2 linked regions of the Cricetulus griseus genome follow. The protein of the gene in region 2 interacts with the protein of the main gene of each other region in a biochemical or structural test. Links are inferred from orthologs where the notes say so. Each region holds a gene or a part of one and is shown on either strand. Other genes may lie near its edges.

Evidence for each region.
Region 1: the proteins of Rp2 (region 2) and Arl3 form a complex in vitro, tested with the Homo sapiens proteins (2 studies listed by BioGRID). The link is inferred for Cricetulus griseus from reciprocal best matches to the Homo sapiens genes RP2 and ARL3.

What each region holds. Positions count from the first base shown.
Region 1 is NC_048596.1:15,033,751-15,037,574, forward strand, and holds part of Arl3 (ADP-ribosylation factor-like protein 3), read left to right. Parts: intron 1-2,596; coding exon 2,597-2,782; intron 2,783-3,824. UniProt on the Homo sapiens protein: Small GTP-binding protein which cycles between an inactive GDP-bound and an active GTP-bound form, and the rate of cycling is regulated by guanine nucleotide exchange factors (GEF) and GTPase-activating proteins (GAP).
Region 2 is NC_048604.1:125,172,956-125,176,779, forward strand, and holds part of Rp2 (protein XRP2), read left to right. Parts: intron 1-1,026; coding exon 1,027-1,141; intron 1,142-3,824. UniProt on the Homo sapiens protein: Acts as a GTPase-activating protein (GAP) involved in trafficking between the Golgi and the ciliary membrane.

The sequences.
Region 1 (3,824 bases), on a different chromosome or scaffold from region 2:
GATCTCGAACTCACAGAGATCCACCTGCCTCTGCCTCTAAGTGCTGGGATTAAAGGCGTGCGCCACCACCGCCCAGTGATGAAAGTTTTTTTTAACTTAACCAAATTTAATATATAAGATATGAGCAAATGGGATCTGGAGAGATGTCTCATAGGTTAAGAGTGATGTCTGCTCTTCCAGAGGACCTGGGTTCAATTCCCAGCAACCACATGGTGGCTCACAGCCATCTATAGTGGGATCGATGCCCTCTACTGGCATACAGGCAGAAAAAAATATCTATCTATATATACATATATAGATATAGATATAGATAGATATATAGATATAGATATGCAAATAGGACTTTGCCATACCCCAAATCTGGGATTTTTCGCAGACCTTGTAGAAAGGTACTCACAAACACTACACTACTTTTTTACTCACAAAAACTTTCTTTTTTTCTCTTTTTTGTGAATATCTTTTCTTTTTTTATTCTTTAATTACTACTCATATTTACATATCCTCCCCCTTCTTTTTTTTCTTTTAACTTCTTTTTTTTTTTTTTTTAATTTATTTATTACGTAGAGTGTTCTGCATGCATGTACGCCTGCACTCCAGGAGAGGGCACCAGATCTCATAACAGATGGTTGTGAGCCACCTTGTGGGTTGCTGGGAATTGAACTCAAGACCTCTGGAAGAAGAGACAGTGATCTTAACCTCTGAGCCATCTCTCCAGCCCTACAATTAGCTTTTCTATTTACATTTTTCAATACTTAACTGACCAAGAGTAACTTTGGCAAATTCAGAAGAATAAGAAGAAACATTCAAGCCAAAACTAAGCTACTCATTTTCAAGCCAGGAAGCAAGGTCAACTTTGAACACAAGCATGGCTTCAACAGTAGGGTACATGTTAACATGGCTAGATATATACATACATACATACATACATACATACATACATACATACATACATACATGGTTTGTATACATAGTCTGGACCATTGAGGCCAGAGTGAGGGGATCACCAGGAGCAGCAGGGGGAAGGGAGTCCCTAGAGAGGCATGTTTGGATCTTAGTGCAGAAATTTTGGCCTGTTTCCAAAGGCAGAAGTTCCCATGTTTTTGTTCATTTTTCTTGGAAAGTGGGCTGAGGAGTCTCTAGACTCCTGGAGACAGCACAGCTTCCTTCCATGCCCCAATGATTTTCTGGGTCATCACTGCAGTGAGCCGGTGCTGTACCTGAGCTTGGGGCAGGGGTGCCCTGGGAGTTAGCTGCCTCTTGAGCTCTCTACTTCCTTTTTGTCTTTTTGTCTTTGTTTCTGGAGACAGGGTCTTGTATCCTTGGCTGTCCTGGAACTCACTCTGGAGACCAGGCTGACCTCAAACTCACAGAGATCCATCTTCCTCTGCCTCCTAAGGCTGGGATCACAGGTGTATGCCACCATGCCCAAAGCTTTCCAGTTTTTGTTTTTGTCTTTTTGAATGCTGGATGTTTAAAGCAGCTAAAATGTAAGCTTAGAGGGAGACAGTCAGAGTCTGTCCATTAGGTACTCGTATCTACTCACTTAAAATTACTGGAGATAGCCGGGCATTGGTGGCGCAGGCCTTTAATCCCAGCACTCGGGAGGCAGGGGCAGGCAGATCTCTGTGAGTTTGAGACCAGCCTGGTCTACAAGAGCTAGTTCCAGGACAGCCTCCAAAGCCACAGAGAAACCCTGTCTCGGAAAAAAAAAAAAAAAAAAATTCCTGGAGATGGGGAGAGTTGGTGGCGCAGGCCTTTAATCCCAGAACTCGGGAGGCAGAGGCAGGCAGATCTCTGTGAGTTCCAGGTTAGGCTTCAAAGCAATATGGAGAAACCCTGTCTTGAAAAAAGAAAGAAAGAAAGAAAGAAAGAAAGAAAGAAAGAAAGAAAGAAAGAAAGAAAGGAAGGAAGGAAGGAAGGAAGGAAGAAATTCCGAGAGACAGAATTAGCATACAGTTTAGAGTTCTGCCTGTGGCCTGGGGGACCAGTAAAGTCATGGTCCCTTCTGGTTCTTTCAGGATGTGAGTTTGATGAATGTGGATGCATGGGTCATTTGGAGATTGAGACTAATAGACACAATTATCTCTAGCTGTCATTTCATTTCTACGCATACATGCATGTGCACACATGCACTAAGTTATTTGTGGGGGTGTGGTCTAGCCCAGTGAGTGTCACTTGCTTAGCATGTATAATGTCCTTGGTTCAACCCCCAGCACCTGAGGAACAATGAAAAAGATATTCTCGAGGGATAAGCTTGGATAAGTCTGAAATTGCTAGCCACCGTCTATATCTTCCTTAAATAGTGGTTCTCAGGGAGTTTCTCAGTGTGGCCTGAGTCACTTAGAACAGAGCCACCTGGGGAGCCTGTTACTAGTGCTTCCTCGATGCTGACTCTGACTTTCTGTAGCTGTCAGCATCCCTAATTTGAGCCCAGAAACTGCCTAGGGAATCTTACAGAGGTGCAGCCCGCAGGTCTCTGCCTTGAAAGCTGCTGATGATCAACTTAACTACATAATGGGTTGTAATTCCAAAAGCGTGCTTAAATGTCACAGTTCTCAATCTTCTCTCGTCTTTCCTTCCCCCAAAAATGGTCCAGGAACTAACGGAACTGCTGGAGGAAGAAAAGCTGAGTTGTGTGCCCGTGCTCATCTTTGCTAACAAGCAGGACCTGCTCACAGCAGCCCCTGCCTCTGAGATTGCCGAAGGGCTCAACCTGCACACCATCCGGGACCGAGTCTGGCAGATCCAGTCCTGCTCAGCTCTCACAGGCGAGGGTGTCCAGGTGAGGCCTTGGCAAGGGTCTGTTCTCGGTCAACGTGGCAACTCACTAAGGCAGTGTGCCTCACTGGTAGGGTTGAACTAGACCAATGGTTCTCAATCTTTGGGTCCCTTTCAAAGGGGTTACCCAAGACCATCAGAAAGAAAAAGAACAAAAACAAAAAAAACAGATATTTACATTATGATTCATAACAGTAGCAAAATTATAGCTATGAAGTAGCAACAAATTATTTTACAGTTGGGGGTCACCACAGCTTGAGGAACTGTATCAAAGGGTCGCAGCATTAGGAAGGGTGAGAACCACTAATCTAGAAGCAAATGGCCTTTGATTGGCAGATGAAGGACTGTAGAAGGTGAAGGGCACAGAAGGAGGTTGATTCTTTACTGCTTAGAAACCAACCAGATCCCATGAATGTTCCAAGGAAGGAATAGCCCAGCCCCTTCAGCACACTCCGCTCACTTGGAGGAGGGCTCAAGAGGTGACTTGGAGATTGTTCTAACTGTGGAATTGTTTGACGATTGTGTTGGCGTTCTATGTTAGGTCTAATATTATGGATGCTAAAAGCCTGTACTCCCAAGGTGATTGTCATCGCCACCATACAAATGCTAGTTAGCCTCGAAATACCTGTTTCTTCTCTTAGTTCTCTCCCTGCCCTTGAGCTTGGTGTCTGTTCCCAGCTACTGGTATTGATTTCCCACTGGGAGGCTTTATGCTGAGGAACTGACTGAACATCCCTTTGTTTAATATTAATTTGGGACAGAACACAGCCCTGTCCCAGGCATCCAAGAGGCTTTATTCTCAAAAGAAGCCACACACTTCCTGAGAACTGAGGTGCTTCCTACCAAGCTTCCTCAGCTCAGGGACACTCCGTAGTCAGTCAGCCCTTCCAGATGACCCAGAATCCTCCACATTCCTCATTTGAAGCATCCAGTGTATCTGCCAGGAAGTGAAACGGTGCTGTGAGCACATACGGTATGTCAATAATGGCATGACAGCTTGCTTTTCTCTCAACTTGGCGTGTTGGGTTTCAGACCTGAGGTTTGAG
Region 2 (3,824 bases):
GTATATAAAATTAGAAACAGTGGTAAGATTCATTCTGATACTTTAAGACTTTATAGTTAACATCTAGCAGTAAGGCCACAGTAAGAGTCCTGATAAAGGATTTGAATTTCATTCAATTTGATGGTGTGATAGTAATATAACCATAGCATGAAGTATTATGAGCGTTACCACTGATTTTATAGAATAAACTGGAAGATGTTGGCAATCAAGTAAATACAAATTTGTAAAAATATGTAGGTAACTGATTTAAAAAAAAGAATTCTCATTTGTGGGGTTTTTTTTGAGTCATGGTTTCTCTGTGTAGGCCAGGCTGTCTTGGAACTCACAGAGATCCCCCTGCCTCTGCCTCCTGAGTGCTGAGACTAAAAGTGTAGGCCACCACTACCCAGCCTAAAAAAAATTCTTTAATTCATCATCACAATAACTTGAATTAAAATCAGAGCTCTGTTGTCTAATAGTTATATGACCTTTGGGAAGTTCTTAACCATGTGACATCTTAGTTGTCTCATCTATTTAAGGAAGATGGTGGTGGTACTCATCTCATTACAGGTTAAATGTATTATGTGTGTGTGTGTATATATATATATATATATATATATATATATATAATATATATACACATATAATATATATGTATAGTGTTCAGAAAACTTCATGTACATAGTAAGTGCTCCCATATGTGTGGTCTATCATTCTTGCACAATACTACATAAATTGATGTGATGACTTTTAAAATTAACATGAGGTAGTATTTTTCCATTTTATTTTAACATCTTTATTATATTTAACAAATAATGTTGATTGTAATGAACTATGGTATTTTTCATTGAACATTTGCTGTATCATCAAATTAAACTAACATTAAATAGTTGTAAAGAAGTGACAGAAGAGTCTGAATTACTCAGAACTAAAACAAAAATTAGAATGCTGTGTTGCATTGTATACAGGAAAATGCTCAAATAACAAAACCATGTTTTCATCCCAGAAGTTCATTCTAAAATCTGAATGAAATTTTATTCTCCACAGATGGTTGGTAAGGGGTTTTTCCTAGTGCAGACAAAGGAAATGTCAATGAAAGCGGAAGATGCTCAACGGGTTTTCCGAGAAAAGGCATCTGACTATTTTCTTCTCCTGAACAAAGGTATTTTCTGGATGACTGGGGTACTTTTGTGGTTATTTCTTGATTGACTCTCTTCTTCTATCTTGCCTTATCTTCCTCTTTTGTTTTGTTTCTTTCCCAATACCCAAGAAGCCCTGTATAACTCACTTTTTTTCTGTTTGTGTTGTTAGTACACATTTCTGTATTATTTTAGTTTTCATTTTATTACTATTTTGCCTCTGTACTGTTGCAGTACAATTGTTTGGCTGTACTGAAAAAGAAGTAAGAAATATAAAGTCACTATTTCTGTTTTCATATAATTAACTTCTCATGAAAAATTATAATTTTCCCTAGTAAGTGAATACCACCAGTAAGTTTCAGATATTGAAGTAATATGCATGAGAGAGGAACTAGAATCCCTGTGCCCTGCTGAAGGGCTGCTGCTTGCCTGTATTTTCCTATGGGCATACTGACTCTGGAGACCAAAGTACTCTCTGTTGGGAGTAGGGACATTGTTTGCTCAAGGCTCTAAGCTGGTACGACTAGCAATATGGAATGCTAATTAGGTTTACCTACAGACCGGGCACATCTGTATGTGTGTTCTTTTTGTATAAATAAATTATAATGAACTCCAAAATTGTGCATGAAAAAAGCATTGGAGGACTGTTAGGATAATTTTAATCAGTAATGCTTTGTGTAATTGAGCTATTAAGTGTTAGCACAATATTTCATATCCTTTTCTTAGTTATTGTAGTAGTGGCAAGGACTTAATCCAGTGCTTGAGTCTACCTCAGAAAATGTTTTGATATAGGAACTTTCAAATGAAATCTTGGAAATTAGGTTAACTCTCATCAACTTTCAGGAATGGAACTGAGCAATTAGTCTAGTGGATTCCTAAAGTGTAAGGGTTAGTGCTGAGGTCAGTAATATGAATCAAGGGTTTATGTATTTGTATAATACTAGTAAAGAAGTCTTACAGAATTGCTTCAACCAATCTGTCTTTAAATAATACAACGTGAAATTCACATGGAAGTAGTAAAATGTTTTGTTGCTGGAAAAAGTAGAACTAAAACCAGTGAGCAAATGTTATGGGAATTTCAGGAAATAAATGCCATACAAACAAGTCTTAAAAAAACAGAGATGCTAGGGCTAGAGAGATGGCTCAGTGGTTAAGAGTATTGACTGCTGTTCCATAGGACCCAGGTTCGATTCCCAGCACTGAGATGGCAGCTCACAGCTGTATGTAATTCCAGTTCCAGAGGATCTGATACCTTCACACCAATGCACTTAAAATTAATTAAAAAACAAAACTAGAGATGCCTACAGAAAGTACTCAAAGACTGAAGAGGTTATGTCAGGTCAAAAGAATCAGCTTGAAGGAGTTTGCATTGGCAAAATTTGGGGACAGTTTGGATCAAAAAAAGAATAAGGGGGCTGGGGTAAGAGTGGCAAGAGTGCTTGCCTAGTATGTTTGAGGACCTGGATTCCATTTCTAGCACCAAAAGAAAGAAATAAATCCCACAAAGAATAATGCAGGTAATTTAACAACTGTTAATGCATCTGTCGAAAACGAGAAGCCTGAGCAAGGTAGTGCACACCTGTAATCCCTGTACTTGGGAGGCAGAGGCAAGAGGAGTTCAGGAGTTCAAGGCCATGCTAAGCTACATAATGAGTTCAGGACCAGTTTGGGCTGCTTGAGACCATTTCACAAAAGAGGGATGGGCAGTGGTGGCACATGCCTTTAATCCCAGCACTCAGGAGGCAGAGACATTTGGATCTCTGTGAGTTCGAGGCCAGCCTGGTCTCCAGAGCAAGTTCCAGTACAGCCAAGACTACATAGTGAAACCCTGTCTCAAGAAACAAACAAAAACACCAAAGAGGGGAGGTGAGCATTATAATTACAGGCTGCCTCTCTTGCCTTCTGCCTCCTTCCTTTCCTGTCTTTGTTCTTTTATGTTTTAAATGTGGAAAAGGGGAAATATTTCCATCTGTGTGATAACTGAACCAAGATAGGAAAAAAAAGTTAGATGACACCACAAGGAAACAATGAACCAAGTCCAAAATGCAAGACATTTTAGAAGATAACTAGCTAGGTTTCCTCAGATGAGGGAACTCTTTTAGATTAAAATAATCTAAAGAGATGAGATAATTAATACAATGTGAGAACCTTGATTAGATATGGGATTGATGTGAATTGGGCTATAAAGGTAGTTTTGAAACTAGGAGTGTGAAGGTATCTATAGGCATTTAATTTTCTTAGATATGGAAATAGTATTGTGGTTAGGTAGGATATGCTTGCTAAGTATCATGGTGTCAGCAAAACAAAGATGAAGCATATGTGTGCACACAATGTATAGTAAGTATGTAGGGGCCAGCAAGATGACTCAGTTAGTAAAAGCACTTGCTATCAAGCTTGATGACCTTGCCTTCAGCACATGGATCCCACATGGAAGAAGGAGAGAACTTAGTCCCACAAGCTCCCCTCTGACTTCTATAAGTGTGCCATAGCATGTGTGCCCACACATATCCACATCTACAAAACTAAGTAAATATACAAACAAAAAATTGTTTTTAAAAAAACTATGTGGCTAAATTTGGGCTCTGAGTGACTATAGCTAAAGGTAAGATGGATATTTATGCTGTTCTTTCAGTGTTTCTATAATGTATTTAAAAAAAAAAAAACGTGGAGGCTCAGCAGTTAAGAGCACTCACTGGCTGCTCCTCC